Linked DNA regions of Oryctolagus cuniculus. The protein of the gene in region 1 interacts with the protein of each later gene in a pairwise test. Links are inferred from orthologs where the notes say so. Each region holds a gene or a part of one and is shown on either strand. Other genes may lie near its edges.

Region 1 (3,646 bases):
GCCAGAGGAGGGCCAGGGCCCTGAGGGGGTCTGGGGGCCTTGGGACCAGTGGTCCTCTTGCTCCCAGCCCTGTGGGGTGGGGGTACAGCGCCGGAGCCGGATATGCCAGCCCCGCCAGGACCTGCCTCCCCCTCCCCGGCCCCCAAGGCATCCAGAAGCCCAACTCCCCCGCGGTCAGGGCTCCAGACCCCACACCTTGGGAGAAACCCACCCCCTGTACAGGCCACAGCCACGGGGAAGGGGGGGCCCGCTTCGAGGTCCTGCTTCCCTGCCGGGCAGGGAGGACACACAGGAGGTGGCAGGAGCCCGCAGGTGAGGCTCTGCGGGAAGGGGCGGGCCTTGGGTGAGGGGCTGGGCTTGATGTGGAGGGAAGGGGAGCAAAGGACACGCGGCTTCCAGAGGCTTCTCTCGGGTGCCAGGAAGTGGAATGGGGAGACAGGCTCCGGGACAGCTGGAGCGTGCCCCGCGTGTCTGACTCATGTGTGTGACTCATGTCTGCCACACCTTCTCAGGTCCCGGGTCCGAGAGCCCATCAAGCCTGGGATGTTCGGCTATGGGAGAGTGCCCTTTGCCTTGCCGCTGCATCGCCACCGCAGGCACCCCCGGCGGCCGCCCCTGACTCCCGGGGCCGAGCTGCCCTCTGCACTGCCCCCCACAGAACTGCCTGCCCACACCTCATCCCTCCCGGCACACCCCACAGGGTCAGGGACTGTTCAGACCGAGGCTGCCCTGCCCCGAGCCAGGGCTGCCTCCTCGCAGCCGTCCCGTGGAGCCCAGGCCCCCCGCACTGAGCCCCTCTCGCCCACCCTCTCCGGGGAGAGTCGCCCCTTCCACCTGTCCCCTCAGCCAAGAATACCGAGCTCCCAGGGCTGGGCCCGCCCCCGGGAGCCAGGGAGACCCCCTGACCCTTTCCCCTCGGTCCCTCGGGGCTGGGGCCAGCAGAGCTGGGGGCCCTGGAGGCCTGGGGGGAGCCTCCGGGGGTCCCCCGCGGAGCCGAATGGCTGGCTGCCTCTGCTGAGCGACGGACCCCCCTCCAGTTCTCTCTGGAGCCTCTTTGCCCCCAGCAGCCCTGTCCCGCGATGTTCTGGGGAGACCGAGCAGCTGAGAGCCTGCAGCCAAGTGGTGAGTTCCTCACTGGACCTCACTGCCCAACTCAGCTTCCACTCTGTCCCCTTGATCTGGGGCGGGGCACTCAGCTTGTCTGACCCAGCAGGGCGGAGAAAGGCCCCGGCCTCTGACCTCCTTGGGGAAGGGGCCTTGGAAGTCTTCTGTGGACCCCTCCCCCCAGGCCCAGCCTTGGCCCTGAGCCCCATTTGCCTCCCTGACCCTGACTCCTTTGTCCCTCCCCGCAGCCCTGCCCGCCCGAGCAGCCAGACCCCAGGGCACTGCAGTGTGCTGCCTTCGACTCCCAGGAGTTCATGGGCCAGCTCTACCAGTGGGAGCCCTTCACCCAAGGTGAGTGCTCCGGCCCCTCCCCTGGGCAGGGGTCATGGGGTCAGCAAACACCAGTCACTCCCACCCTGGAAGATTTCCCGCCCTTCTCCTTCTCTGCGTCACCCAGGACAGAGGGGACTTGGCCCAGGCCTTGAGCTGCCAGATGGTGCTGACTGGTCTGCAGGGGGCTCGGGGAGGGAGGGAGAGCTGTCCAGAGGTGCCCTTTACATCCCAGGAACGGGGTGGCTATGACCCAAGAGATCCTGCCACCCGGCAGCAGGCTGGGCTGTGCTTACCGTGTCCTGCTCCCAGGGTACCGTCCACTTGGTTTAGGCCTGTGTCACCTTGACACCCAGATGAGACCTCCTGAGTTCAGTGCACACAATCACAGGTGTGGAAGCTCTCTCCTTGGTGGCCTCAGTGACCCCAAGTGACCTGAGCAGCTTATGTCCAGTGACCCAGCAGCCTCAGGGTGTCCCAGAGCTGGCATGAGGGAGATTTCAGAGTTAGTGCGAAAATGTCATTAAAAGATGTTTATTTTGGTACAAAATGATTTTGAAATTCATGCATAGTTTTTTTTTCTAACACATATTTCCTATGAGCTTTTTTCTTTTTTTTTTTTTTAAGATTTATTTATTTATTTGAAAGAGTTACAGACAGACAGAAAAAGAGAAATCTTCCATCCGCTGGTTCTCTCCCTAAATGTCCACAATTGCTGGAGCTGCGCTGATCCAAAGCCAGGAGCCAGGAGCCTCCTCCTGGTCTCCCATGCAGTGCAGGGGCCCAGGCACTTGGATCATCCTCTGCTGCTTTCAGGGAGAGGATCAGAAGTGGAGACGCTGGAACTGGAGCCGGCGCCCGTACGGGATGCCCGCGATACCCACTGTGCTGCAGCGCCGGCCCCTCCTGCTCTCTTTGTAGCGTGTCTCTTCCTTATCTACTAGAGAGGCACAGGGTATGGTGTTTGCAGAGGGAGACAGATACTCTTTTTTAAAAATAAACATATCTCTTTTTAAAAAATATTTTATTTATTTATTGATAGAGTTACAGATAGTGAGAGAGAGAGAAAGGTCTTCCGACTGTTGATTCACTCCCCAAATGGCTGCAATGGTTGGAGCTGTGCCGATCTGAAGCCAGGAGCTTCCTCCTGGTCTCCCACATGGGTGCAGGGGCCCAAGGACTCTCTCTCTCTCTCTCTTTTTTTAAAGATACATTTATTTGAAAGATAGAGTTATACAGAGGCAGAGGCAGAGAGATATTTTCTGTCCACTGGTTCTCTCCCCAAATGGCTGCAATTGCTGGAGCTGGACCGATCCATAGCCAGGAGCTTCTTCCAGGTCTCCCGTGTGGGTGCAGGGGCCCAAGGACTTAGGCTGTCTTCTGCTGTTTTCCCAGGCACATTAGCAGAGAGCTGGATTGGAAGTAGAGCAGCCAGGACTTGAACCGGTGACTGTAGGAGATGCTGGCGCTGCAGGCGGCAGCTTTATCCACTACACTGTAACACTGGCCCCAATGGGCATAGGTTCTTGTGATGTAAGAGTGTAGTAACCAGGGCCAGCACTGTGGCACAGCCGGTTAATGCCCTGGCCTGCAGCACCAGCATCCCATATGGGTGCCAGTTCCACGCCTGGCTGCTCCAGTTCTCATCCAGTTCCCTGCTAATGCACCTGGGAAAGCAGTGGAAGATGGCCCAAGTGCTTGGGCCCCTGCACCCACATGGGAGATCCAGGTGAAGCTCCTGACTCCTGGCTTCAGCCTGCCTGGCCCAGCCCTGGCCCTGGCGGCCTTTTGAGGAGTGAACCAGCAGATGGAAAACCTCTTTCTCTGTCCCTACGTCTCTAACTCTCTCCTTCAACTAAATACAATAATTTTTTTTTGTTTTAATGTATAGCCACCAAACTATACGGGATGGCCACATGGCAGGTGGTGGCTTAACCCGCTGTGCCACAGCGCTCCCTCCCAGGAGCTTTTTGAAGATCCTTCCTATGCATGGATTTCAACATTTTCTGCACCCCAGTAAACACCTTTCAACTCCACTTTGCCACAAACGTTTTCAGGGGCCTCCTGAGCAAAGCTTCTGCGGGGGCCCTGGGCCCTTTCCATCCGCTTCCCCTCCCGCCCACCCACCGCCCACCACCCACCACCCACCACCCTCCCGCCTCATCTCTAGTCCAGGGCTCCCAGCGCTGTGAACTGAACTGCCGGCCCCGCG
Region 2 (3,646 bases), on another chromosome or scaffold:
CACATGGCTACAACGGCCGGAGCAGCGCGATCCGAAGCCAGGAGCCAGGAGCCTCTTCCAATCTCCCACGTGGGTGCAGGGGCCCAAGGACTTGGGCCATCTTCCACTGCCTTCCCAGGCCATAGCAGAGAGCTGGATTGGAAGAGGAGCAGCCGGGACTAGAACTTGCGCCCATATGGGATGCCGGCGCTTCAGGCCAGAGGGCTTTAACCCACTGTGCCACAGCACTGGCCTCTCCATCAGGTTCATTCTTTTATTTATTTATTTATTTACTTATTTTTGCAATTTGGATGTCATTTATTTATTTTTTATAGTTTTTAATTTTTATAAAGTGAGCAAATTTCGTGTATCATGTATTAGGTTAATTCTAATTCAATTTAATTTACATTTAAATTTAATTAATTTTAATTCTAATTAAAATTTAATGTGCTCAGTGAGGAAAATAACATACAACACACTACTTACATTTCATATTTCAGATTTTTGATTTTGACTATTTCTTAAGAACTACTAGTGGGGCCAGTATTGTAGCAAAATGGGTAAAGCCACCACCATCCAAAGCCAGGAGCCAGGTGCTTCTCCTGGTCTCCCATGCGGGTGCAGGGCCTAAACACTTGGGCCATCCTCCACTGCACTCCCTGGCCATAGCAGAGAGCTGGCCTGGAAGAGGGGCTATCGGGACAGAATCTGGCACCCCGACTGGGACTAGAACCCAGTGTGCTGGCGCCGCAAGGCGGAGGATTAGCCTATTGAGCCGCGGCGCTGGCCCCAACTACACTTCTGATTTCAGCCTCCTGCTAATGTACTGAGAGAGGCAACAGAAGATGACTCAAGTAATTGAGTCCCTGCCACCTCTGTGGGAGACCTGGCTTGAGTTCCTAGCTCCAATTTTCGCAAGAATTTGGGGAGGGAACCAGCAGATGGAAAATATCTGTCTACTTCTCTCTGTGGGTCTCTACCTTTCAAGTGAAATTTTAAAAATTAAAAACTGTTTTAAATCTCAAACTCCTATTCTTCATAAAGTTCCCTCCCTTTCCAGACTATTCTGAAAATTTTCAGCATCCAGAACTACTTAAGAAGCACACTTTTTTCTCTTTCATTTTTGCAAAGAAGATAGAGGGGCCGCCATTGTGGCGGAACAGGTGAAGCTGCTTGCAACGCTGGTATCAGAGTGCTGGCTCGGACCCAGGCTATTCTGCTTCTACTCCAGCTTCCTGCTCACGTGCTTGAGAAAATAGCAGAAGGTGGCCCATGTGTGTGGGCCCCTATCAGCCATGTGGAAGACTAGGATGGAGTTCTTTGTCCCTGGCTTCTGCCTGGACCAACCCTGACTGTTGAGGCCTTTTAAAGAAGAGAAGAGAAGGAGGGATCATGGCTTTTTTAGAGGCATGATATCAGCAATACATAATATCAGCGTCTACCTGTTGAAGAAATTCCTCTGTATTTTAGCGGCATGGCTGATCTGCTGTAACTTTTGGTCTTCATTCTGATATATCTTTAGTTTGGGCAGTTTTTAAATTATTCTTCATGGTGGAGGATCCATGAAATACATACCTGATTATTGTTAATCTGGGGAAAAAACTGGGCTCAATTTAATTGTGGAAAGATGACTAGTTGTAGATGTTCCCACCTTAATTCTTTTTAGACTCCTTAATGCCTGTCTTCTTGTACTCTGAAAAACAGTGCCAGCTATTCTACAGGAAGCAATCCCAGCCACCACTCACCATGTGGATTCTCAGCTTCAGATTGCCCAGAACTGGGCACACCGCTACACAGCCATCCTTGAGAAAGCAACAGATAATCCACTCGTGGCTATAGACCTTCAGCCATATAAATTGAAAGAAGCACTATATAATGTGCGACAATATGAGGTCTTTCTTCAAATCATTTTGGTGAGTTAATTTCATAATCTCTGGCCTTTTCTATATAATATAATAATCTTTTTATATATTGCAAGGCTAAACCATGAGAACCAGGTCACTAATTAAATTTATATTGCATTGAGGGGCCAGGAATTAAAATAGAAACAGGGAAGTTAGATTTTGATTTTAACAAAAATACCTTGGTGGCAACTGACTTTACAGCTGTTGATTTTCTTTGGAACTAGGTAGTATGATTGTTAACAGGCTATAGTAAAGCAGAGGTGTGTATGTGTACAAGAGTAGTGGTGTGTTTGTTTTAATTTGGAGCAAGTGTCTAACACATGTCTACAGGTAGTTGCAGTCAATTTTTCTGTGATTATTTGCTCTTGTTATAAGTATTAATAGAAGAAATTTTTATATCTGATGATTTTGGACCTAATGAATAAACCAAACAATATCCCAAAGAGTTGGAAAATAAAGTGATGATTATAAACTTTTTTTTTTATTATAAGCTTTTAAAAGCAGCAGTGCACTTTGTTTCAGATAGAAGCCAAGGATCCTGAAAACATAAAGCAGCTATCTCAATGAAGGGGTTAGTGGACCTTTACTAAGGAATATTCCCCATGCCCCTCCAGCATTCCAGGAACATAGTTTGATAATGACTGTGTAACAGTACACTGTGCTCCCTCCAGTCACTGCTTACCTTTAAAAAGCCTCTACTTTCCAGTAGCAGTGAGACTCGGGGTCAGTGGAACTGTCTTGTGTGTGAATGAGTACTGATTTCTCGATGGAGACTTGATTCTACTTCTGGATGCACTTGCTCAGTCCTCTGATTACCTCGCCGAAAGAATAAAGAGATAAACGTCCTCATGACATGACTTCATTGGACAGACTAGGGGTGATCCTCATAAAGGGGCTACTAATTGCCTTCAGAAGGAAGGACCTTAAGTCAACTATCCAAAACCAAATCCTGTAATACTGACCTGTGGCTCCCAGTCTTACGTAACTAGTCAGATACTGGGAGGATTTAATAATCAGTTTATCATGAATTTATATGGGCCCACAGGAGCAGAACCTTCTATTCCTTTTTGTAATCTCCACTCAGAATATTACAAGGGACGCCGGTGCCGCGGCTCACTAGGCTAATCCTCCGCTTGCGGCACTGGCACACGGGGTTCTAGTCCCGGTCGGGGCGCCAGATTCTGTCCCGGTTGCTCCTCTTCCAGTCCAACTCTCTGCTATGGCCCAGGAGTGCAGTGGAGGATGGCCCAAGTGCTTGGGCCCTGCACCCGCATGGGAGACCAGGAGAAGCACCTGGCTCCTGCCATTGGATCAGTGTGGTGCGCCGGCCGCAGCGCACCGGCCGTGGCGGCCATTGGAGGGTGAACCAACGGAAAAGGAAGACCTTTCTCTCTGTCTTTCTCTCTCACTGTCCACTCTGCCTATTAAAAAAAAAAAAAAAAGAATATTACAAGGGAAAAAATTCCTGGGAAACTGTCAAATATTCTGTAAGCATGTTGCAGAGGATGTCATTTATTATATAGTACCTTCTCATAGTTTTCAAGCATGAATCATACTCAATGAACTAGCTTACAGTCTTAACTTCTCATTGGCATCCCACCTCGCACAGCTAGAAGGACAATGAGTAGAGTGTAGAAATATCAGTGGGGGTTCTAATCCTGACTTTGCTACTTAATCAATATATGTCTAAGGAAATTGCTTAACTTCCCTGTTGCTGGGTTTCCACATCTATAGACTGGGGTTGTTAAGAATCTCTACCATAT
Region 3 (3,746 bases), on another chromosome or scaffold:
AAGCCCAGAGGCGGAGAAACCAGTGTAGTGTTTGGTCTCCCCATCCCCACCACACTCAGAATTGGGGGCTGAGGGAGGCACAATGGGGGCCACCGCGGGCACGGATCTGGGGTCTCCGCCAAGACTAAACGCACCCCAGTCAGAAGACTGGGAATCCAGCCCAGGAGCCACCCATGAGCTACGAGCCACCCGGGTCGCCCACGGGGTTTTTAAACCAACCACCTGGCCGGCGCCGCGGCTCACTAGGCTAATTCTCCGCCTTGCGGCACCGGCACACCGGGTTCTATTCCCGGTCGGGGCGCCGGATTCTGTCCCGGTTGCCCCTCTTCCAGGCCAGCTCTGCTGTGGCCAGGGAGTGCAGTGGAGGATGGCCCAAGTGCTTGGGCCCTGCACCCCATGGGAGACCAGGATAAGCACCTGGCTCCAGCCTTCAGATAGGCACAGTGCACCCGCCGCAGCGCGCTGGCCGTGGCGACCATTGGAGGGTGAACCAACGGCAAAAGGAAGACCTTTCTCTCTGTCTCTCTCTCCCTGTCCACTCTGCCTGTCAAAAATAAATAAATAAATAAATAAAATAAAATAAACCAACCACCTACCCCTCCAGGCACTAGCAGGAGCTGGAGCTCCCTGCCAGGTGCCGTCATATGGGATGCAGGGGTCCCCCTGGTGTGCTGACCACCATGTCACCTCCATGTCCAGGTCTACAGAGACCCTCTCCGGAACAGGCATCCATAAAACAACAAGGTGGCGATAAATGTTCGCTCACGACAAGGGTGCCCAAGAAAGTACCAGCAGACGCCTGCGCTGAGTGGCAGGGCTGAAATAAAGCCCCCTACCTCCAGGGCTCCCTGGGCAAAATGGCGCCACGCGCCCCTGCCGGCCCCAGACTCCTGAGAACTTGGGTGCATACAGCAGGCGCCTAATAAATAAATGCTGGCTGCCTTGGAGGACGATCAGAATTTCCCTCCAAGTTGGGGTGGGGGAGGGTGTCCATATTTATTTTATTTATTTATTTATTTTAAGAAAGCGCGCGAGGTGGGGGAGCAGCCGGCGCGTTGTTTTGTTTGGGGCTGCGAGCGGCACGCGGCCCGCGAGGCGCGCGGCCCCTTTAAGAGCCGACAGGAATGTATCAAAACAAAAAGGCCGCGCGCCCATTGGCTGCGCGCCGCACGTGACCGCACAGCTGATTTCCTGGCCGCCCCCCTCCCCGACACACAGACACTCAGACACAGAGACCCCGCGGCCCCGACGCCCCCCGCCGTCTCTTTTTTGTGCGTGTGTGTGGCCGCCGCCCGCGCGCCCCCGGCCGCCCCGCCGCCCCGCCGCCGCCCCGCAGCCGCCCCGCCGCCGCCCGCGCCCGCGGCCCGCGCGCAGATGGCGCACTCGGCGGCCACCGCCACCGCCGCCGCCGCCGCCGCCGCCGCCGCGCCGCCGGGCGCGCTGGAGCAGGGCTGCCCCATCCGCGTGGAGCACGACCGGCAGCGCCGCCAGTTCACCGTCCGGCTCAACGGTAACGCGCCGCGCGCCCCCGCCTTTTGTTTGCGCAGCCCCGGGGGAGAGGCGTCGCGGCCGCGCGGGGTGGGCCGGGGCCGGGGCCGGGGAGGGGGTGGGGGCGCGCGCGGGTCCCCGGCCTTGGCCGCGCGCCCCGCACCTGCCCCGGGCCGGGCCGGGCCGTCTTGGCGTCTCCGGGGGCGCACTGGGGCTGACCGCCCCCACCGGCCTGCCCCTGCCCCAGCGGCTCTGAGGTTTGGGCTGGGTGCCTCGCCCCGCCCCCCGTGCCTTAGTTTCTCCCCCAGCACCCCCGGGGAGCGTTGTCCGTCCAGGATCCGGGCTGGTGCTGCGCGTGGCAGCAGTTTCCTGGAGAGAACTTTTATACCAGCCCACACCCGCCCTCTCTCTAGGGGCAGACAGAATTAGGATTCCGGGACCAGGCCCTCCCTGTACGCCCCCCCCCCAACGCCCCCCAAGGCTGTTCCAGCGAGGAGAGCTCCCAAGGGTTACTGTACCCATTTCTGAGCCAGGAAGGCAAAGGCCCAGGTAAAGGAGACACTTGTCTCAAGTCAGCTAGTCAGTTGGGGCTAATGAGTTGGAGTTGGCCCCCACCCGCGCTTGACCCAGGTTGGCCAAGGTCAGGAGGGGCCCAGCCGCCCCGCAGGACACCCCCCCCCAGCCCCATTTGGGCTGTGCTGGGCACCAGGCCCACCCGCATTTGGGCTGTGCTGGGCACCGGGTCAAGCCACGGCTTCCAGCCGGACCACAGGACAGCCCTGCAGGTCTGCCCAGCCACAGTTCCCATCTTGCCTCTTTCTGGGACCTGCCTCCTGGCAGGGCGGAAGCTGGGTGTTTGGGGAACCAGTGTGTTGTTTGCATCTGGCCTCCTTGGAACCCTGCAGGGGAGGAAGGGCCTTGTCCCTGTGGCTCTGGGTGTCTGTGTGTGTGTGTGTGTCCGTGTCCTGGCTGTCCCCGGTGGCAGAGCTAGGCTGATTCTCTTCCTGCGAGCTCTGTGTCTGGATGAGGGAAGATGTTTGAGCAGCTGCATTTATTGAGCACTTGCTGTATCCCTGGAGAGACACCGGAAACCCCTCTCCTGGTTCCCAAAGGAGACGTGCAGGGACTTGCCCTGGGACTTTGCCCCTCCCATGTGGGAAAACCGAGATCGCATGCCCCAAGGATGTGCTGAGCACTGCTCTTCTAGGTGCTGGGGGAGTGGGGAGGTTCCAGGGGACAGCAGATGGAGCGAATTGTCGAATGTGTCTTGGAAAACCAGGACCCCGGGGGCTAGGTGGGGAGAATGTGGCAGGGCGCAGGGGTCCCGGAAGACGGTGAGAAACAGAGCAACAGCAGGGGAGTGGTCCAGGTGGAGGGAGCAGCAAGCGCAAAGGCCCTGTGGTGCTCAGAGCAGCAGGAGATGGAGGCACGGAGAGAGGAGATTGGGCCGTGGAGGGCACAGATGGTGCAGGGCTCACAGGTGTGAACCCCGGGGAACCTGGCCTTGGCTCTGGGTGACACGGGCTCCCAGGAAGGTCCTGAGCAGAGGCTGCGCAGGAAGCAAGACTACGGCGGGCAGGATGGAGCTGGAAGGTGGCTACTGCACAGGTCCGAGCAGTTGAGCACAGGGTTGACTGACCCCAGGTCTGCTCTGTAAGGGGCAGCTTTCCATTCTACAGCCAGGAAAACAAAGGCAAGAGAGGTGGCTGAGCCTGAAGAGAGGTCCCGCCTCCATCAGAGGAGGGCTGTCACCTGCAGGCTGTGGCCCCGCCCCCTCCCCATGATCCCTCCGGCAGTCTTCCTCCTCCCCCTCCCCCCAGTCAGGGCTGAGATCCCAGCATGCTCAGTGAGGGCTGGGGCTGGGAGTCCCTTCCCGCTGGTCCTGCCTGCCTGCCTGCTGGCTGTGTCAGGCCACGTCAGGCCATGGCCCTGCAGGGAGTGGCCTGTGGCCACCCCTAAGCCACCCGCGTCCCCCCCCCAAACCAAGCTGTGCACCTGCAGGCAGCCCAGAGAGGCCCTCCCCCCACACCTGCTCCTGCACCTGCTTGTGGGTGGTCGCACGCCTCCACTCCCTGAGACCTGGTTCTGGCCGGGCCCCTGCCTCAGTCTGCTCATCTGTGGACGCCCTGACCCCACACCGGGCTGAGGAAGCCTCTGGGGAAGTGACACTGGGGCTCACCTGGAGCGACAAAGGAAGGGTTCCCCGCCCCGTGGTCCTGGGCACACCCGGGGACGTCCCTGGGAGGCAGTGCCCGACT

The links.
Region 2: the proteins of ADAMTSL4 (region 1) and CFAP206 interact in binary tests that used the Homo sapiens proteins (3 or more experiments, as listed by UniProt). The two-hybrid records come from large-scale screens. The link is inferred for Oryctolagus cuniculus from reciprocal best matches to the Homo sapiens genes ADAMTSL4 and CFAP206.
Region 3: the proteins of ADAMTSL4 (region 1) and NATD1 interact in binary tests that used the Homo sapiens proteins (3 or more experiments, as listed by UniProt). The two-hybrid records come from large-scale screens. The link is inferred for Oryctolagus cuniculus from reciprocal best matches to the Homo sapiens genes ADAMTSL4 and NATD1.

Annotation. Positions count from the first base shown.
Region 1 is NC_091438.1:47,449,130-47,452,775, reverse strand, and holds part of ADAMTSL4 (ADAMTS-like protein 4), read left to right. Parts: coding exon 1-312; exon of another isoform or gene 313-512; coding exon 513-1,122; exon of another isoform or gene 1,123-1,352; coding exon 1,353-1,455; exon of another isoform or gene 1,456-1,917; intron 1,918-3,604; coding exon 3,605-3,646. UniProt on the Homo sapiens protein: Positive regulation of apoptosis. May facilitate FBN1 microfibril biogenesis.
Region 2 is NC_091436.1:85,115,573-85,119,218, reverse strand, and holds part of CFAP206 (cilia- and flagella-associated protein 206), read left to right. Parts: intron 1-1,683; coding exon 1,684-1,892; intron 1,893-3,646. UniProt on the Homo sapiens protein: Essential for sperm motility and is involved in the regulation of the beating frequency of motile cilia on the epithelial cells of the respiratory tract. Required for the establishment of radial spokes in sperm flagella.
Region 3 is NC_091448.1:65,885,555-65,889,300, forward strand, and holds the start of NATD1 (protein NATD1), read left to right. Parts: upstream 1-1,172; 5' UTR 1,173-1,374; coding exon 1,375-1,510; intron 1,511-3,746.